Linked DNA regions of Schizosaccharomyces pombe. Changing the gene in region 1 together with any one later gene gives a genetic interaction. Each region holds a gene or a part of one and is shown in the gene's direction. Other genes may lie near its edges.

The links.
Region 2: mutations in ers1 (region 1) and tos4 together harm fitness less than expected from each alone (positive genetic interaction), as found in Schizosaccharomyces pombe (2 studies listed by BioGRID).
Region 3: mutations in ers1 (region 1) and alp31 together harm fitness more than expected from each alone (negative genetic interaction), as found in Schizosaccharomyces pombe (2 studies listed by BioGRID).
Region 4: mutations in ers1 (region 1) and hrr1 together harm fitness less than expected from each alone (positive genetic interaction), as found in Schizosaccharomyces pombe (4 studies listed by BioGRID, with this or other methods).

The regions. Positions count from the first base shown.
Region 1 is NC_003421.2:799,353-805,057, forward strand, and holds ers1 (RNA-silencing factor Ers1), read left to right. Parts: upstream 1-1,805; 5' UTR 1,806-1,844; coding exon 1,845-1,875; exon of another isoform or gene 1,876-1,911; coding exon 1,912-1,987; exon of another isoform or gene 1,988-2,026; coding exon 2,027-2,075; exon of another isoform or gene 2,076-2,114; coding exon 2,115-2,164; exon of another isoform or gene 2,165-2,187; intron 2,188-2,219; coding exon 2,220-2,634; intron 2,635-2,679; coding exon 2,680-3,959; intron 3,960-4,008; exon of another isoform or gene 4,009-4,009; coding exon 4,010-4,057; exon of another isoform or gene 4,058-4,094; coding exon 4,095-4,205; exon of another isoform or gene 4,206-4,247; coding exon 4,248-4,529; intron 4,530-4,579; coding exon 4,580-4,666; intron 4,667-4,707; coding exon 4,708-5,149; 3' UTR 5,150-5,191; downstream 5,192-5,705. Other genes in the region: protein Fta4, read left to right, coding at 491-632, 707-1,266; rRNA processing protein Ipi1, read right to left, coding at 5,275-5,705. UniProt on the Schizosaccharomyces pombe protein: Involved in RNAi-dependent heterochromatin formation and centromeric silencing.
Region 2 is NC_003424.3:1,920,735-1,925,434, forward strand, and holds tos4 (transcription factor), read left to right. Parts: upstream 1-1,808; 5' UTR 1,809-2,221; coding exon 2,222-2,351; exon of another isoform or gene 2,352-2,458; coding exon 2,459-4,029; 3' UTR 4,030-4,181; downstream 4,182-4,700. Other genes in the region: SNARE protein Bos1, read left to right, coding at 4,368-4,391, 4,443-4,539, 4,612-4,700.
Region 3 is NC_003424.3:3,375,176-3,378,625, forward strand, and holds alp31 (tubulin-specific chaperone cofactor A Alp31), read left to right. Parts: upstream 1-1,930; 5' UTR 1,931-1,972; coding exon 1,973-2,041; intron 2,042-2,104; coding exon 2,105-2,191; intron 2,192-2,343; coding exon 2,344-2,547; 3' UTR 2,548-2,725; coding exon of another isoform or gene 2,726-2,783; 3' UTR 2,784-2,828; coding exon of another isoform or gene 2,829-2,846; 3' UTR 2,847-2,893; downstream 2,894-3,450. Other genes in the region: SPOM_SPAC8E11.08C (uncharacterized protein), read left to right, coding at 341-643; SPOM_SPAC8E11.06 (uncharacterized protein), read right to left, coding at 2,726-2,783, 2,829-2,846, 2,894-2,919; SPOM_SPAC8E11.05C (uncharacterized protein), read left to right, coding at 3,097-3,450. UniProt on the Schizosaccharomyces pombe protein: Required for the maintenance of microtubule structures and cell polarity. Beta-tubulin-folding protein; may have a regulatory role in the tubulin-folding pathway.
Region 4 is NC_003421.2:2,027,820-2,034,737, forward strand, and holds hrr1 (helicase Hrr1), read left to right. Parts: upstream 1-1,640; 5' UTR 1,641-1,835; coding exon 1,836-4,173; exon of another isoform or gene 4,174-4,214; coding exon 4,215-4,676; exon of another isoform or gene 4,677-4,718; coding exon 4,719-4,871; intron 4,872-4,919; coding exon 4,920-4,966; 3' UTR 4,967-5,212; coding exon of another isoform or gene 5,213-5,488; 3' UTR 5,489-5,530; coding exon of another isoform or gene 5,531-5,726; 3' UTR 5,727-5,777; coding exon of another isoform or gene 5,778-6,055; 3' UTR 6,056-6,112; coding exon of another isoform or gene 6,113-6,187; 3' UTR 6,188-6,386; downstream 6,387-6,918. Other genes in the region: mrpl22 (mitochondrial 54S ribosomal protein uL22m), read right to left, coding at 462-1,211; protein Dms1, read right to left, coding at 5,213-5,488, 5,531-5,726, 5,778-6,055, 6,113-6,187. UniProt on the Schizosaccharomyces pombe protein: Has a role in the RNA interference (RNAi) pathway which is important for heterochromatin formation and accurate chromosome segregation.

The DNA.
Region 1 (5,705 bases):
AATGGTATATCCTAGGTCAACTTCACAATACACTATACTCTAGGGTTCATCCTTCATAGAATATTACTCTCTTCGCTATATCTTAGAACTGATATATGCACTAATTTTTTAACTCGCATTAGACGAGTCCTTTCTAAGGAGCTAGCTTAATGATTATGTACATAAAATCTTCATTTTAACATCATTCAAAGTATTCTATTTAGTCGCTCGACTTTTCGACTTCTTTAGTCTCCTGTAACTTTCTCAAAATTTGTCATTAATCAACCATCAGCCAAGGTCTGATTGATTTGGTCTTTTTTTGTTAAGTAATTAATTTTGGAAGTGCTTACACTGAAGACGTCTATATGCTCAAAAGTCGCTGTTAGTTTGTTGCCTTTGCGTGAACTTGCTTTGTTAATTTCAATACCATATTGACTTGTTTTTCGATCAGTATTCAACTGTTTTTATTTTAATCCTGATAATCTTGATTTAAATCAAATTTACTTCCTAAATGGATATTTACGAACATAAAAAATCATTCATGGAACGACAGATACGGCTGTTGAACCGACCTATGCGCCCTCCAAAGGATTGGAAACTTCCTTTAAAATCCGGTCAGCTTTCAGAATCAGTCGTTGAAACTGTATTCCAACGTACGTGTTCCATGCTTTTGTCTGGATTTCTCCTACAAATAAAAAGTTCAAAATATTATTATTAACCAAAACAGGATTGCAACTTCGTATCCAAAAGCATGCAAAGCTAAATTATTCACATCAAGCAACTCAGCATGTTGCCGCTCAAATACGAAAGTTATATGAACAAAATAGCGCTATTGAGGACATTACCTTTTTAAATCCATTATTTTATGGAGAAATTGATTTAAGCAATTTAGACAGTGTAAAATCACTTCCCCATCCATGGCCTTTTCAAAAAGAATCCCGACCTGTCGAAAAGGATGAGGAGCAAGAGAAGTTCAATCGTCTTACGGGAGAGTTACTTGGTCTATTAACAACGTTGTCAGAATTAGAACAGGAGCGCTCTGAACTTGAGCAAATCGAAAAAATGTTGGAACCTTTTGAAGATGGGCCTTCTTCAATACATACGAATATGTGGAAGAAAAACCCTGAATTGATATCAACCCTCAACAGTACGAACACCATGGTAGCTAAAATTAATTCTCTTCTCAGAGGGGTTTCATTTCCTTCTTTAAACAATGACAATCAGGAAGCGTCATTGGAGGACGAAATCAGAAGCCAATTATTCGAAAAAACTATTTCTGATGATTAAAAAACTTTTCGTAGAAATTGAGAGGGAATGATGTTCATGAACTCCTATTGCATCTCATCATCTGCTTTTGAAATAATGACTAATACTTAATTGGAGGAGAGGGTGCCTTATTTCCTGGTTTAAGGATTTTATTGACTCTACTAGAAATGTTGGGGCTATAGAAATAACTTTGAAGCTTCTACTTTACGTTCAGATATTTATTGGTTAATGATTTCCTAGCTTTGGGAGGCATTAAGTTAGTTGATAAGACAACACATTTTTATTTACAAATGAGTGTCCGCTAAACAAAATACGTTTCTTAACAATTGTCTTAGTTTTATTTTTTAGTTTACAGTGTTTCTAACCTTTAATGAATCATTACAGCTTATAATTCAAATACTCAGCTCTCGATTGTAAGTACGTTAACATTAATTTTATCACAATTATAATACCTACATACAAGGAACTATAGATTTAATTATTTTTCTTTTCTTCTGATAATTCATAAAGCTTTATATTCCTAATGAATTCATATTACTTCACTTATATTCTGAAGCTGCATATAGCATGTACCATCTGTAAGCTCGATGAAATGAGTGATGGGTAAAGTATCTGCAAACAATCAATCTGGTAAGTCAATGTGTATCATTCTTTTGCTAATATTAGGATTTTTTAAATTTTATATCGATACAGCGTTGCTTTTAAATGCTGAATTTATATCCTCCTTCACAAATTGTATAAAGTATGGTTTTGCGCAAATGGACTATTACTGATGATATAGTTCTGAATATAATGGAAAAGTAAAAATTTCTTACTCTTCTTCATCTCAGGTATTTTATATATCCTAGCTATTGACGCTAATAATTCAGCAATTCAAAGTCATAGTGTACGAGGAACACAAAAGAGAAGCGTTTAGTCTGTAAGTTCCATGCGTTCATCCTAAATATTATTTTAAATATTAATTAACATGCTAGTTTTGAGGAAATAGTTCAAAAGTTGAAGCGCGAATCAACTGTTTACAAGAAACCACGCCTAGATATTCATCCATTCGGGCAATTGCATTATGATTTTACTACTTTATTGAATTTTCAAAGGTACTTAGACTTAGGATACGGTATTGAAGATGTGAAAATAAAAGAAAATGAGGACATTGTTAAGTCTAAAGTGGGCAAGAAACCGACATCCTCCGATTTTTATATTCCTTGCTTGATAAAACCTAAAATCATTACTCCTTTTGAATGGGAAGGAAATTTTAAACAGGTCATTTATTCGCCTACTGTTTACAACGGGAGTTTCAAGCGATTATTTTACCTTCCCGACAATAATGATTTGCTCAAGGAGTTTGCGCATGCTACCAACACAAAATACAAGGCTTCTTTAAAAGATAATGTATGTATTTGTGAAGATACTTCTACCATCCTAACTTTTGACTAGAAAATAGTTGTATTAGCCAATAACGATCAGGACATTAATGCTATGTTGGAGAAAATGAAGCATATAGAGAATTTAGTGTCCCAGAAAGTCTATGAATATCCTGAAGAAACTCTTGTTTATGCAGGAAAGATTGCACCCTGCCAACTGAAATTTCTAAAATTAAAATTTGAAAACGAGATTTTATACACAGCTATGCATACGACATCTATTTTCAAAAGCGTTTTCAATATCCTTGGATCTTTTTATACTATGAGATTATTGAGAAATAAACATGATGGTGATTCTTATGAGTTGGTACCAGTTTTTGCTAAAAATCCTTCCAAAACCCCTCCCTGTAATGATAATTTTAAAATATTTTCTGATGATATAAAGCTGATAGGATGTAAAATATTTGCAGGTGTTTCTTTAAACTTCTCTTCTCCGAAACCAGCGCACAGATTTTACGAGTTAAATAAAACTTCATCCAATTTGTCGATCCCAGTCTTACAAAAGCCGTCAAATTTTCATTCTTCGTCAACCGAATTATCTGATAATTCAATTCATCAAGGAAGGAGAGCAGTTGATCCTGTTGTTAACCAGAATAATCCGTCAAATTTTGAAGAAATGATTATGAACAAGTTGAATAAATTACCCACGATTGATAAGCAAATTTTAGGAACTTCATCTTTGACCCATTTCCAAGATAAAACAACTGCAATTGAGCATTCAATTAATAAGTCTAATAGCAAGCAGCCTCCTCGGTTCAAATTTCAGCTTCCTCCTCGACCTACGAGCAATACTTTACCATTGGAACCTGAAGAAGAGCTGGTTACTAGATATTCTGTTTCTTCGGATGGTAATACTGTTGACGAAGCAATAACTAAACAGTCTCAGACTTTTCAATTGGTCAATTCAAATGAATTTAATGAAGTTAACGCTAATGATGTTCATAAATCTTTGCGACAAAATTGCGCAAAATTGGATTTCGACGATTCAAAGTCTAAAAACCTATTAAGTGTAGAATGTTTAGAGCTTGACAAAGGATCAGATTGTTCCACTCCAAAATCTGGCAGCTTAACTCCTTCAATTGACATGAAGTTTTTACGTTTACAAGATGAGAAAATGGACGACCTTGGTGACAACTATTATACAATTCTAATGTCTTCCAATCCGGTATCAAGCTACGGTGTGGGAAGCTTATACTTATTTCAACCAAAAATAGTATGCTCTGAAAAATACATTAATCACGAAGAGATTGACAACATGAATTTGAAATCATTGCACAGATGGTTATCTAGAAGGTCTGTGGTATTGACTAAATATGTAAACATAAGTCTAACACTTTGTTTAGCTTGCATGTACTTCAATCCTTTTCAGGTGAAATTGAATTGAATTTAGAGTATGCGTTTATTTTTGAATAAATATTAATCCAACAGGTTTGGCGTCATACTATATCCAAATATCTCATCAGATGTGTCGGCTTGTTCACATGGTTTTATGAATATATATAAGGATTTGAATCTTCCCCGATCATATTTTGCAGACTGGTAGGTTGAGTCTTCATATGTTATATTAACCTTTTTATAAAGCATTACCAAATCAGTTTCGAATATCGATTCATTATTGAATACTCCTGTGAAAATTTTGTTTGGACGTACTGAGTATACTTATCCTTTAATAGAGCATGAAGTATTAGATTCAAAGAATTACTTTGTTTTCAAGGGAAGTTTATTATTTACAGATGATAAGAGAAACAAGACAGAGGATTCCACTGTATTTTTTTCGATGATTTGTTCTTCAAAGTTAGATCAGTTTGCGTTTTATAAAGATTCTAAGCAATCTTCTACTTGCACTATCAATTTTCCTTTAGCGTATGTTATGAATGTTTTTAAGGAAAAAAACAACTAATCATGACTTATAGCTTATGGGATTCCCGTCTACGTATCGAAACGAAAGTCCCTTTAAATGATGCGATACTTACAGAGTTCTCCAAAAGTATTAGATTTAGGTATGTCAATTTCTGAAAGCTTCGACTAATCAGTTGACTAGAAACGTAAATAAGGATTTACTGTTAGTCTTTGGAAATATGGAAGACAGAGTAATAATTCATTCGGTCACAAGAATTAATGAAAACTCTGTACCTTTTAACAAAAATTTACTCCCTCACTCTCTAGAATTTATATTAAAATGTTCAAAAGTTAAGAGCTATGACATTAGCCCGTCATCTATTAATTCCAAAGAAGCCTTCGTTTGTCTCGACAGATCCAAGGAAAGCAAACCTATAGAATCCTGTTTCAGTCTAAGTATACAAAGTGTGTACATGCAGTCTCAGTTCAAATATAATAACAGTATACGCGCAGGAGAAACGGCTCCGTGGAAACTTGCAAATAAACAATTCATTGGTGGGGCTATTACTGAGAATGTTTCAGACTTGTATACTGCAGCAATTATTATGGTGAATCAATTAGGGGGGATACACCCTACTATTTAATTAATTTTATTTATGCGTTAATATCAATTTTGTTTATACCACTTAACATAAATAACCCCTCAAACCAAATTCTTAAATTAAAACAATGCGAGGACCCATTTAAAACGAAACATATAGAGTCAGTTTCATTTACCCGGGTTCTCCAATGCATCCAATTCCACTGCACGCTCGCGCAATTTATCGTATCCTTTCAATACACCTCTCCATTCGGAATCTGTTCCATAATTGATATTTATCAACTCTATGTCCCTATTTATTTTTCTTAAAACTTGAGATATTTTCTTCCTATGATTGTTGGGTTCATCAGCTACACTGAAAACTTGTTCAGTAAACAATCCAAGCATCGATAAAACCGTTCTACAAACTTTTGAAGCAGACGGAGAGTTGGATCCATCTTTAACAACTGGGCAAGCGTCAGACCACGAGTTTCTAATGAATTCTATAATTCCAGGTATTAAAGGATATATTGTCTGCCAACGGAAAGTAGGGTTATCGACAAGATCGTGTTTATTTGGATTGAATAGCGACAAATATGCAAATGAACAAGGAGATCTAA
Region 2 (4,700 bases), on another chromosome or scaffold:
AATGGAAAGAGAGTACCATAAACTTTTCATAAAATAAACATACAAGAAAAGAATATTATTTTATATATATACTTCAAATAAATATAAAATATGTATAGAAAAGGATGTATTCAGAGCTTCCATGTAGTTCTTGATTCAACTCGAAAGTTCTGAGAACTTTTTTGGAACATTTACGAATTGAAAACTGCGTTAGAATATTATAAGCTGAGAATAGCAATGTATATTACCCTGAACGCTAAAGTTGGATGTTTTGCTTCGACCAAATTATTGATGATGTGTGACTAATACATTGCATTGGATCTTTCGTATTTATGAAGGATATTCAGTATTCCTTTGAAGAAACTAAGACATGGTAATTTATCAAACTCGTTCTATTGTGGTATGAGTGAATCGACACTTACGTAAATCGGACGGATAGCTGAATTATTACGAACTTTGTTTATTATATAAAAATAAACGGCTAGTTGAATTATTGTTTGGAATTAGTCATGAAAAAAATTGGTCATTTAAATCGTATAAGAACGCACACTTTTTCCATCTACAGATTTAACTGCCCCAAAAATGTCTGAATGCAATCAGTATTTAGACGAACCCTTATTCGATTTAATGTTAGCGTAATTTCCGTAAACATTCGCTGTATTACACTATTTCACAAACTCATCCTTGTTCTCTGTTTTGCTAAACAATTAACGAGAAGTGGAGTATCAAAAGAACGAGATGCACAAAATTGGTAAAGCTTAAACAAAAAAGGGAAGTGAATAATTTGACAGAGAATTCTAATTTGCAAGATCAGCATATTTAATAGGTAATGCAATTTAATGTGTTCGATTGCTGAACTACAAATAGTGGTCCAGTATTACATACATCATCGATTCGAATAATCCAACAAATTTGTTTACACTATACGCAAACTTTAGTAGCGTCGACTTAAACTGCTGAATGTATAAATGGATAAATATCTTAATAACTCCTAATAGTATCAACGCATTGTAGTGCTTTTAGTGGGTTGCATACTAACTCTGAGTCAAACTGCGAGTTGAGTGGGATGTATTAATTAAACGATATCTATAAAAAGAAATAAATCGCGAATTTTAGCAGATTTCTGATTTTGGACCTTAATGGATTTAACCGAGACTATCGTTTAATTAATTAAACATAATATGGGAGGGTAGCAACAATATTACCTATCTGCTTAATTCATAGTGAGGAGCACCATTGATAAATTACACGAATATAATTAACAACTTTTCATATTATTTATTAGTTGACACTCAAGTATACAATGACATTGCCAAAACATTAAAAATTTTCAGGATTTCATAATACAAAATATTTAAAGTCAATAATCATTCAAAATCTTGTTAAATATTAAGAAAAGTGGTTTTTTTTAAAAGTATTGTGAAAACTACCGGACTTAATACTATCGCCAGGAACCTAAACATGTTATTTCCCTACCTCATTTGGTCAAATGTGATCCCAGCCTTCTAATGAATCTCTTACGCTAATATAAGTCAACGTACACTGGCTTCCCTATCATCGGTGAAGCATCATTCTTTGTTTCTTACAACAGATAACTGTTGCTGGATTATTCTTTGTGTTTAAAATTTTGTTACTACCAAACAGTATACGCAGATATGCATGCACCTTTATTGTGCCTTGAACTTTAGCCTCAAGGAACAAGCTCCCTTTGAAATCGCGTTTTTCGACATCGCGCTTCAAAATCAATAAAACGCGTCGCGACGCGGCTCGGCACGACGCGCGACCATCCATCATATATAAACACATATCTCAGGCAAAATGTAAATTATATAACCAATCTTTCAACACAGAAAGGGTTTAGAGAAGAATACGCTCATTTAATTTGAAAAAAATCTTTGTGCACTGGGTTACTCTCGTTTCTTCTCGTCTTGCATGAAACATAGCTTTGTTTAACCTTTGTTTTTGGTGTAAAGCTCGAACATCATAGCGTGTTTATACCCAGGCATTAACCTAAAAATTACTAATTCGTGCTTCTATTTTTTCCTTTATTAATATACACTCTTTGTTTTTCTAGTTCACACTTTTTGAAACAAGGCACCTTGATCACGGATCTTTTGTAATCTTGCCTTGTTTTGTTACAATAATCGATTTATGTTATTTTGAAATTCATTCCTTCTTTAAATCACGACAATACTTCGCGTTACAATTCAACCTTAATTGTTTGAATACTCCTTTGGCCAGTATGAACATTTCTAGCCAAAATGTGCTACTGCCTTCTCCAATTCCCTCTTCATCGCCTATGGCTTCTCACAAGAAAAGTTGGCTCTCAAAACATCCAAATCAATCAATGACTTTTGAGAAGCCTCAATTGGGTAAGGTTGATTCCACGGTGATTAGTTAAGAAAACTGTGTAAACCAAAAGAGAATCATGCCTCTTTACCAATTGACTTGAATCTAACTTTTACTAATATTAATTTAGGCCAATTCGTCCTCACGCCTGAGCCATCTAGTAATACATTCTATGCCCCCTCTTCGCCTGCTTCTGCAGTGAGAAGAGAGCCACTTTCTCCAATGTCTTTTGTACGGATGCGTTCACATCGCGTTAATAAAATTGGCCGTTCTAGTCAACAATGTGACCATGTCCTATCCACGGTTGATAAAGCAATTTCTCGTGTACATGCTATTGTAACTTGTACACAAGACCGCATGATTATTGAGTGCGTGGGTTGGAATGGGATGATTGTGTCTGATAAAATGAGGAAGTCAGTATTCCACATGAAGAAAAATGATCGGATTGTCCTGGTAAGACCGAATTCGGATGCTTGTCCTGTACTGGATGTATTCGGTTACCGAGTTCTTCTTGGTTGGCCAAGTGATTCTGAAGATGAATGGGAAGGAAATCTTAATGCTAAAAATTATGAAGAAAATCGTGAACCTATGTCTCCTTCACCTCAAGAAGCTTTACCTTTGATGCCTTCATCACCTCCTTCTCAAGACTATCAAAACGATCAGAATCATCTCATATTGTACACTAATTCCGAATCCATTCCTAAGCTAAACTTGCGTAGTAACGAATTAGTATATCCTCCTCCATCCAAAGATTTGTTACAAAAGCTTCTTGCCTTAGAAAAAGATGGTCAGGTGGAAAAGTCTGATTGTTCCAAAAATACACAATTAAAACCATCTTTTCTCCCAAAGAACACCGACGATTTACTCAATGGCACTGATGATAATAACATCGTTTTAAGAGAAGTTAAGGTTTCTTTTGAGAACGAAAAAATCGAGAGTGATGATCTTGATAAAAATGAGGAAATTAGTGAAGGTGAAGAATACACTCCAATTGAAGAGTCAAAAGAGCCTATAACAGTAAGACGGGATAGCGTTATACAAATTGATGAATCGTCCGCTGGACTAACGGACGTTATCTCTGAACTTAATTTTACAAACCATAATGATGACTCAAAGAATTCTAATATTACAACTTCAAATGATTCCCCAGTGAACGAAGTTGAGCCAATGGCTCCTGAATTGAGTTCAGCAGTTGTGGAAAAGAAGGAACCTGAAGACTACGAAAGCATCTCTGCTGTTGATGAGAACACTAATGACAGTAATGAATCCCTCCCTTCTAGCCATGATTACTCAGAATCAACAAAAGAAAATTCAGCTCCCGATAGCTTATTATTAGGATTGGTTTTAGATGAATTGGTTTTCTCAACAACTTCAACTACTCCCCTTCCTGCACTTTCGCATTTATTTCCTTCCAATATGCCACTTCAATTAATTCAGGACAAGCTTCGAGACTTGGCAGCCAAGCACCCCTACTTTGAAGAGGTTAAACGTTACGGAACTGATGCTAATGGTGATCCATTGTGGAGTGAATGGTTTTATAACCCAGATGTGGATGATGATTTAGAACGGCGTATGAGATATGCTCCATTAATGAGACCAGTAAGATCCTCACGTCGTGTACATAAACAATATTATTGGAAAAAGCCCCGAGCTCGTCCACGTTCATCGGGACATTCTTCTAGGCGTCGTCGTCTTTCATAACGAATTGAATGCTGGCATCAGACACGACCCCTATAAAATTTCGCTTTTTGATATTGTATACATTTCGTTATTACGAATGGAATTATTAGATTTTTCAAATGGGGTTCAACAAAATACAATTGAACTCAATAGTGATTTACATTTAATATGAATTTTGGGTAAAAAAACGCATTCTTTTTTATAAAACTGTATTTACAATGTATAGAAATAAATTGCTACTTTAAGCTATTTACAATTTTGATATAGCATTCAAGTAACGTGTTACTTGCTACATGTGTTGTCATATCAAAGACAAGAAAATAAATTACCCTCATATTGGAACCAACTACGGCAAGAGAATGAGCAATACTCTTTATAATCACGTATGTAACTTCCTAAAGTTTTAGAAAACATATTAATTTGTATTTCGCTAGTGTACAAAGTTGTTTCAGTCCATTCAGCGAAGCCTCGATGAGTTAGAACGTGGTGTTCAAGATGAGAGCAACACTATATCGTTAGCTGGAATTCAGGGTATGTGTAGATGAATAATTATGGTACTTATTTTAACCAAGTTATTCATGAGACTAATGCAAATCAATTTAGGCCAGATCTCAGCTTCATTTCTGTCATTATCCAGATCCATTGATGACTACGATAGTATGGTCCAAAGGGAATTGGTTCCCGCTAAAAAA
Region 3 (3,450 bases), on another chromosome or scaffold:
ACTATTAAATATACTTATTCAAAAAAAAAGAACACCAGATTCTCCTGTCACGCATCTAGGTTTCCAGTTTTTCATCTGTTCCCTCATTAACGTTCTACCAGTTGCCCGCATTGTTCCAGAAGATCAACCCAAATCTGAACGAGATGCAATAGCCTGGAGACTACCAGAGTCTTCATTTTACCCGACCGAGATCGTTTCCATGGTCGGAATCGAACACTGGAATACTTGAGACTTGGCGAAAAATGAGTATTATACAAGGGAAGAAAAGAAGAAGAAAATAAAAGGATAATTTATGTTTTACGGCAATAAAATAATGAATTAATAAGCAAGAAGTATTAAAATGGACTTTACCACTAATGAGGTTCTGTTTAGTAGGTTAGTAGTCTGTAAAAATTTGACAAGAAAAAATTTTCCGTTTCTTCAATTGAAGGGGAGCTCCATTTTAAGATTTGAATGGTCTGAAGAAATGTATAGATTGTATATATGGTTGTTACCGTACCGAAAAGACTATAATGAAAAGTTTAAGGGAATTCTAATAAATCCTTCTATTTTTCTTCTTGGCTGTCATCATGTTCAAATATGCAGTTTTCCGAACAACCTTGTATTTTTCATGGGAAAATGCGATTTGTTTCGTTTTTGTTAGCTTTGTTTGAATACCATTTTTTAACTTATGCGATACTTTCTAAACGGAGTTCACTTTTTAAATTAATCTATATCAACTGAGCCGTTCAATTCAATCCCTTTTTTTATATCAGCTTGTAAACAAACGTTTCAGGAAATGAGAAAGTTCAAAAAGCGTTAAACAGTGAATGCTTGTATGTTGAGCTTTGACTTGTTTGCAAATGTTTAATTGTCGAAATTCATCATCTGTATCTGTCCAAAGTTGTGAACTGACAAGATAGAGATTAATTTGTTAGATCACGCAAAGTACGATATGTTTAAAATGCTTATACCAGGTTGCAGTCTTTGTTTTTCATAGCTTTGCAAAAAAAAAAGTGGATTAAAATACTAATGACTACTAGGGTTCGAAAGGTTGCTGTTCGATTATGAAAAAGCGTTCACTCTTTTATCTCCCAAGCGATGATTTGAATTTTTGATGCATCTGTGGCGTAGAATATGATCAATCATTTTAGAAAACAGAATAATATTCAAGGATCCATTTAAAGTCCTATATAGAGTAAAGGATTTTAGCTATTATCCTCACATTGAAGACTGGTCCCATTATACCGAAGTCTGTTGACATTAATATCGTTGTACCGGCTTTTTGAGTAGACTAAATATCTTGTACAGGATCTACTTTGAAAGAGGGTATTAGGTCCTTTTTTTATTTTTTGTTTTCCAAGGATTAAGATAGAAGCTGAATTTTTTTGGCTAGGCAAAGTTGACTAATTATTAACAGACTGTGGTTCGAGTGATTAGCAATCAACCTATCCTTATATGAAATCGTGCTTTTAACAATTTCGGTTGTTGGGAGATAACTGTGTGTACGGAGAATCAGAAATTTTTGTTTTGGAAAATATTTGTAAAAGCAATTACGTCTAAATATAATGAATTACGCGCTAGAAAATTTTCATATAGCTGAATCCCGAAAAGCTCAACCTCCCATATGATTGAGCATCCATAAAAGCATGAAATTTTTGGTACAAGTATCGGTGAATCGTAAATTTAGAAATAACTGAGCAATTTTATCTCATACATAATATAGGAATGAAACGTTTGTCGATCAATAACTAGTCTGATACTTGATGCAAACATTTAATCAAATACCCTTTTTTAGGAATTTAAGGAAAGGGCTTTAAAAGAAATTGAAAACTTAACTAGAACTAGCTTTTCTTAATCGTTTCTCGTAACTTATCACCACACGCTAACATTAGCATTCCTTTGTATTCCAACGTTACCTACACTGCAGTCAAGGAAAATCATCCAACCTAACATTATTCCTTTGCATATCGCGTCCATTTTATTTTCTACCATGTCAAATACTGTTAGGAGCTTAGTCATCAAAACTAATGTCGTTAAAAGAATTATTAAAGATGTAGAAGTAAGTTTCCTTTTTGGATCGCGATTTTGTAGATGGAATTTTCTGACCTCAACAATTGTTTAGTTGGCTCATATCGATATTAACGAGGCCGAGAAACGTGTACAAAGTAAAATTGATAATGGGGAAGATTCTGCAGAAATTGAGCATCAGGTATGTTGCATTAGTTGAAACCATATAAACGTTGGACGTGTTGTGCTAGAAGATGTTTCTACCAAGCTGAAGATACTTTTCGGTGGTTTCCGCTTTAGCGTATCTTTTTTAAAATAAAAAATAATCAAAGTACTGACATTCTGGACCTCTAGAAATTTGTTTTGAAGAAGCATCTTGAGGCGTTGCCAGATGCTCTTGTACGTCTTCGTAATGCGACGAACGACTTGGAATCCATTTCTTCTGACAGTGCATACGAAGGAACTCCTGAACTTGAACAAGCAAATGAATATTTAGAAAAAGCAAAAGAAGTAATTGAAAAAGAGCAAACGAATTTCCCCACGAATGGGTACCACTGAATACACATTTACTAGCTTTTGTAGATCCCTGCTAAAATTTATTACTGACCCTTCAAAAGACGATCATGAAAAGGTTCTACGTTCATCATTCTTTACCCACCCTTTCAATGCTATCCTACTCAACTGTACTGTGTCTTCGATTTTTATTCCAATCCATTAAAATAATAGACAATCCCAACTACTTAAGGATTATCCAAGTCATGCTTAAATCTTTTTTAAGATTTCGCCAATCTATTCTAATTTTGCCAGTTAGGTGAAACTGTTCACATAAAAAAACATACGTATTCCCCTTTATTCTACTAGAGATTTAAATTTTAGCTGGACAATCAAACAATTTTAAAACAACCAAATGTTCCTGCTAACAAGCAGCATAGACAGTCGTCCTCTAGTATTTATTTGCACTTTTATTGTGAGTGTAATGTAGCGTATCACTATGTTAGATTGTACAGCTCATTGTTTGACGTTACTTACCATCTGAGCAAAGAGAAAGAAACACTTCGCGTGAACATTAAACAGATTGGGAGCATAAAACGTTCCATTTGTATACCTATGGCAAGTCCGCCAATATTATCAAGGGAATCACCTGTGTTGGGTTTAGAAGAAGAGAAGAAATCTGACGGCGGCAACTCTGAAGTAAATATTGACCCTTCTGCATCTTCATCGTTGAAGGAAGATGTAGATGGCGAAGAGGGAGCTGATACAAAAATAGATCCACACCTTCTTGAAGAAGATGATTTAAATCCTGTAGAGGATTACGATTCTAAAAACCAAAAAGTCGTTGAAGCATCTAAACTTGACCTTGACGCTACATCAACTGTTTGGGCGGAGAGTCTTAGTATTAATAGAGAAGCTAGTATTTCCCAATCAGGCATTGTAGACAATGAAATGGAGAAAAAAGTTGAA
Region 4 (6,918 bases), 1.2 Mb from region 1:
AAAAGTGTCTGATGAATTTAGAACCAATAAATATGTGTCAAAATGGTGAAGAGATATGGATAGCTTCAACATATGGTCCAAAGCACGTTTTGAAAAGTCAAAAAAAGAAGCTCGTTGCAATGCTTCAAACCAAATTTGAAAAATGTTAATGAGGCAAACGATTGCATGAATGATTTAATAAGATTAGACAGTTTAAAAAGAATTGCGTTCTTTACGAAAACGTATCATTGAACTAAAAGTGATGTATGTACAGGTTGGTTAGTTTACCTTTTTACAGTACTATTTTTCTACTGATACCATCAGCACCATAGAGGTAAATACAAAATTATGGCGTTGCTAAAGAAATAAATAATAAGGGAAACCATATTCTCATAAAAAAAAAACGGCACTAGAATTACTATAAACGATATTGGGGGGAAATATTATTAGAGTATCAAAGATATGGGCATCTCAATAATGACTTAGCAAGTGAAAAAGTTAGATTTTAGGTATATTGGTCGGTTAGGCAGAGGCGTCCAAACTTTCTTTCTTTCTAGTCTTTGTTGACGACGCTGTAAATCGCGCAAGAGAGCTCGCTCATCTCTTAAAACAACAGTAACTCGAACCCGTGGAGATCTCTCAATGGCACGACCTCCACGGCCCATAGTGATAAGTTTCTTTAAATACTTTGCCTTTCCAACCCATATTTGATCAACGTAGAGAGTACTCTCATCAAGACCAGCTTCACGAACAGCGTTTTCTCGAGCAGAAACCAAAGCAGTTGCGATGTACTTGGAAATTTTTTTATCTGACATTTTCATTTGAAGTAAAGCATGATAAAATGGCTTATGGGCAATTTGACGACACAAAGCGCCGACTTTCTTTAAAGAGGAGCGAAGCACCATTGATTGTAAGGTGTAGGAAGGATCCATGGTCTCCTGTTTTTTGAAAGAAATACGTGACCTTGGTCTCTCTTTTACACGCTCTTCCTTTTGCTGACGATTAGAATCGTCCTTCTGGTTAGCAAGCATTGAGAAAATGTCGGACCCTTTTTGCGAACCCAAATTTGCAGGATTTTGTGCAGACTCCCTTAAGTAGGATCCATTTGAAAATTCTCTAACAAAAGAAAGTAATGGAAATTTGTAATGGTACGTTTTAGAATTCAATCCTATCGTGGACGATGGAACTAAAAAGCCCTTTGATATTTTCATAAATTGATTAATGTATTTCATAATTAAATCTTAAAAATTTTTTCCCAAATATTCCTTCCACACATAGAAGTCAACGTTTTCGACTAATTTGAGCAAATGCGCTTTCTCAATGTTGTAACAAAACCAGGTAAATATTACATGCCAAGGTGGTACTAATAGGAATTGCAACCTAACGAATTGCTAACTGTACTATGTTATAGGTCAGTTAGCATTTCCCTCCTTATACAGTTATAAAAATCTTAAATGAGAGAGCTCACTATCACTATGCAAGCTACTCAGTTTGTAAATCTATTTCAAGGATGGATAAACTACGATAAGGTAACTTTACAACGATGTTAACACATGCTTACATGCTTTATGCTGGCACACTAAGCTGCACATTGCGGGTATTATCTGAACGCGTTAAATGCATGGTCACGTAAAGACAGAAAACGGCCCTTGGCAGTAAACAAACAACCCATTTGTATGTTAGACAAATAATATTAGAGACAGGTGCAGAGACTGTACATGAATTGTTATTTATGATATCTTTTAGCTTCTTTGGGGAGGACGAGATTAATATTACGACCTAGTGGGCGCGTACTGAGATATTTTAGTACAATAACCTTTTGAAATTTTTTGGATATTATCCTTTTCTTTTTTATTATGGAACAAGTACAAGATGAAATTTGGAAGTTAAGTACGCTGGACGCCTGGGAAATGGTGAACAAAAATACAGAAGTTGTGTTTGATGAAATCCCCGAGCCAGAAACTTTAAGTGAAATGAAAAGACACCCATTGTATAGCAACATCTTTAACGCCGATAATAATACTACGAGTTTCACAGAACAAATCGAGACTTCTGAAACCTCCAAAACCCAAGACTCGGAGGGGAACAAAGTTGATAAAAATTTAAAAGAAAACAAGTCAATACGTCGTAAGAGAAGCATTGACAACGATTATGAATTGAGTAATGTAAAGAGAAATGATATAACATCGGGAAAAAATAGAGAATTCGAAAACGAACACCATCCCGCAAGCGATACTTCTTCTTGGCGGGAACTACCATCAATTCCAACGTTGGAAGAATTGACGTCAAAGAGTGTTGAATTACCTTCAAACAACATATACGGAGGATACAAGTCCTTTGAAGATTACTTATCTATACACTATCGGTTGCTACGTGAGGACGCAGTTTCCCCATTACGAGAAAGTGTGCTTCGGTACAAGGTAAACCCCAATTACATTACCGGCTCTTCGTTAGCCGTATATGATCATGTGCGGATAGATGGCTATACAATATCTTCCAGTGTTATAGCTGCAAAATTATCCTTCAGTGTTCGCGCTAAGAAAAAAATAAAATGGGCTACCAGTCGTCGTCTTATCAGTGGATCTTTAGTTTTATTAAGCAATGATGATTTCCAGACTTTTCGCATTGGAACTGTCTGTGCGCGGCCCTTGAGTGGCCTTAATAAACATCCTCATGAAATAGATGTCAAATTTGAAGATATTAGTATCTCTTTAGATCCTCGAGAAGAATATGTTATGATCGAAGCTACTTCAGGCTATTGGGAAGCTTACAAGCATGTTCTTCGTTCATTACAGAGGCTTTCTGCTAGCACATTCCCGATGAAGGATTACTTGGTACACTGTAAAAGTAATCAGGAGACTGCTAAACACATACAAAATAATCCTAGGATACGCATAAATTCTATCTTAAAAAATAACTCTCAAAAAATCGTAAATGCTCTTGAGCCGTTCGGTCCTGGCGAGTATATACTAGACTCGTCACAGTTAAAAGCTTACCAGTCCATGCTGACTAAGAGACTCTCCATTATTCAAGGCCCTCCAGGGACTGGTAAAAGCTTTGTTACTCTTAAAGCCATAGAAACATTACTTGAGAATACTCACTCCCATGTTCTTCCGATTTTAGTAGCTTGCCAAACGAATCATGCAGTCGATCAAATATTGATTCGTTTATTGCATCAAGGCGCTTCAGTAATGCGACTAGGTTCAAGAACGAAGGATCCTGAGATTGCAGCGGTTACGATTTTTCAAAAAGCAAAGCACACCAAGCATTCATTTAAGGCTGCTTATAATGAGATTCGTCACAAAAAGCAACGCTTAATCAAGCAAATAACTAATATTATGCATAATTTCAACCTTGAATTTGTAACTCTTAGCTATCTGCATAGTAAGGGAATTATAACGACCTCGCAACTCGAGTCCCTTCGTAACAACACTGAGTGGATCAGTTCTGTTGCGGAAAATGGCGAAAAAACTGAAGAGGAATTAATAAGTATCTGGTTAGGCGATGCTAAAGTGGAGCTTATCACTCCATCAGAAATTACGGATGGTTTTGAGGAGGAACTACAAATTGATCCAGAAAAGCTGGAAGAAATTCAGAAAGAAGCAGAAGACAGTGGTGCTTTAATGGAAGAGGAATTGAGAGGGAAATTTATTAACTTAAGATGCAAATATCTATTTTCAAAGCTAACAACACTTCATGAAAAGGAGATTGATACCCTTCTCACTATTCCAAATATTTGGGATATACCAGAGTATAGTAGAGGAATCATTTACTGTCGCTGGTTAGAATCGGCATATGCAGCTGCCGAAAAAGAACTCAATCGTCTCTATAGATTTTATCTGAAAGTAGACCGCGAGCGTATTGGTTTTTCAAACAAACGCGCAGCCATTCTTTTGCGTGGAGCGAACGTAATTGGAATGACCACAACTGGATTAAATAAGTATCGTGATATATTAGAAAGGATAAATCCAAAAATTTGCTTTATCGAGGAAGCAGCAGATGTGTTAGAAGGACCGATTATTCCAGCTGTTTTCCCTTCTTTAGAACAATTGGTTCTTATCGGTGATCACAAACAACTTAGACCAGGTTGTTCAACTTATGCATTACGACAAGATCCATTTAATTTATCAATATCTATGTTTGAACGATTAGTTGAAAATGATATGGAATATACTCGGTTGACAATGCAAAGAAGTAAGTAATTTTAAATACAATTTCCTACTAACAGACCTTAGGAATGCATCCCCAGATTCGAAGATTAGTGAGTTCTGTTTACGAAGATTTATCGGATTATGAAATTACCAAGTATTGGCCTAGTATTCCGGGAATGGGCGAAATTAGGAGATTCTTTTTAACTCATTCTCGTATTGAAGACAATGATGGCTTTGCTTCGAAAATTAATTTATTCGAAGCTCAGATGTTAGTTCAATTTGCAGTCTATCTCATTAATAATGGCGTTGAACCTCAAAAAATTACCTGCCTAACGTTTTATGCTGCTCAAAAGGATCTAATAGAGCGATTGTTAAGTGAGTCTCTTAATAGAGAAAAACATTTTATTAAAGTCGCGACTGTAGATGGGTATCAAGGGGAAGAGAATGATGTCGTTCTTCTTTCTCTTGTGCGCAACAATGACCGGACAGAGGTCGGATTTCTTTCCTCCCCACATCGCGTTTGTGTTTCTTTATCTAGAGCTAGGAGTAAGTGAGATTTTATGAAAGGAATTATTAACATATTATCAGGAGGATTGTTTATATTTGGAAATGCGCAACTTGTTGCGGAGTCGAATCCCTTGTGGTGGGACGCAATAAATACCCTCATGAATGATGAAACAATACAAGGTCTAGGAGATCACCTACCTTTGTTTACCAAAGATGGTACAATTTATGTAAATGGTAAGAAAAGCAAGCAGTTTCAGTTTAATTTTCTGACTCACTCTGTAGATCCTGTTGAATTGCTTGACGTTAATATGCGATTGACAAGGAAATAATGAGGTTTTAATATATTTATACTTTTACTTAAATTTATAGGGTTTCTACTTTTTTTTACAAACTTTTGTCAATAGTCACATTTAATATATTGACAAGCATTAGAAGGGATTTAATGAAAATAATATTCACGAACTGAGTTCGACAAATAGCGCGATAAAGATACAACACGACAGGCTTTTCAATAGCTTAAAAATATCTAGAATTTGACACAGGATGATTTAAGTGAACAGCCGAAAGTATAACGATTATGATGGACGAGTTTTTGAGGATGTCGTTTTTGAAGAAGTATGAAGGAAGCAAAAGACAGATATAGCAATTAGGGCTATGACTGTTGCAAAAATAACTTGAACAGACAGGATTGTGGATAAAACATTCGACAGTAATGTCTTTGTAAAATTTTCACTTTTGTCTGAAGAACTTTGCAGAGTTGCTTCCGTCATTGTGTCAAATGGAGATTTGTCCGGGCGCTTTACAGATTCTTCATTTTGGATATAGCGTTCAACAAGTCGGGATTTAATAGACTGGTAGATTAGTAATTGACGAATCAGTTTTTTAGCTCTTACATCTTTCTTAGTAGATTGAACGGAGGTTAGACATGAATCGATTTTGGAGAAAGCCATCTCAAAAAAGGACTCCGTGGCAGCGAAATGAAACTTATTCTCCTCAAAGGCTGATACAAATGCATCCTTAGGGGAAGTAACGGTACGTACTTGCATTGAAGAAAATTTTGGATGTAAAATGATAGGCAAACTGGAACTTCTGTATCAACAGGGTTAGTACGTAAACGAAGATAAAGATACAATCACATACTCATCCTCGAAAACAGTGGAAATATCGTTTGTGCTTGAAGCCTCTAATTGCTGGTAGAGAACAGGATCCACTGAGGTAAGTAATGTAGGAGAAGTGATAGAAACGTTTACGAATGCTTCAATAAGATGACAAGCGTCCTGTTTCGATAAAAGGTGATTGGGATCATTCTCCACAAATTCCGAAGCCAACTTTCGGACTTCTTTTTTCATCCAAGGGTTTTTCGTAAACAGCTCACTATAATGAATGTCAAGGAGAGTGATAAGTTCGGAAATGGAAATCTGCAACCATTGTTAGAGAGGAAAACAAGATGCTTCTATAGAAATGATTTAACTTACCTTCGAATGGGATATCTTGGAGATCTGTCCAAACAACTCTTGGCTTTTCGTCAATTCATTAGGAACGGAATTCATACTGCAACAAGTGAAACTTAATAAATTTTCAAAAATAAATTTTGATTTGAAAGCAAATAGTTCTCGAAGGGATTGAATTTCTTCCGGCGAAAGGAGTTTAAAGAAATTTAATTTTAGATGCAAAAGAACAGTGAATCAGAACAAAAAAGGAAGTTAATAACTCGATTTCGCTTTAATAAATAAAAATATTATCATAAACACATTAAAAATTCTATCAATAGACCTTAACTATGTTTTTTATACAGAAAGGAGTATGCCGTCAGTCAAGTTGTAACTATATTATCATTTCCATAAGAAAACTTCTTGTTTTTCCTATTGATTGAAAAATTTACTAATTAAATAGTATCGTAAACTTCAAGTAAAATTCATCAACTAAGTCGTAAGGGACTAATGGTTGAAGATGAACGAAGACAATTTCATAAAAGTTATCGAAGTAACATGTGACTTGAGTTACCAAATTATTGAAAAGGGCATGTAGTAGTAAATATCAGAAAAAAAGTAGGTAAATAATAACAAATGTAGGCGAGTTAGAATAAGATTCGTTCTTTTTTATTATTCCTTTTTAATCAACAATTTGTTTTTTTTTATTGAACCGAAAATCATCGACGCCGAGTAAGAAAGAGTGAGATTATAATAATCCTTGACATGAAGAATTTTATAGTGAAAAAGTATCTCTGATCTTAAAACTTTCATTCATTTTGTCAAGGTCTGAAATGGGGCACATTGGTCAA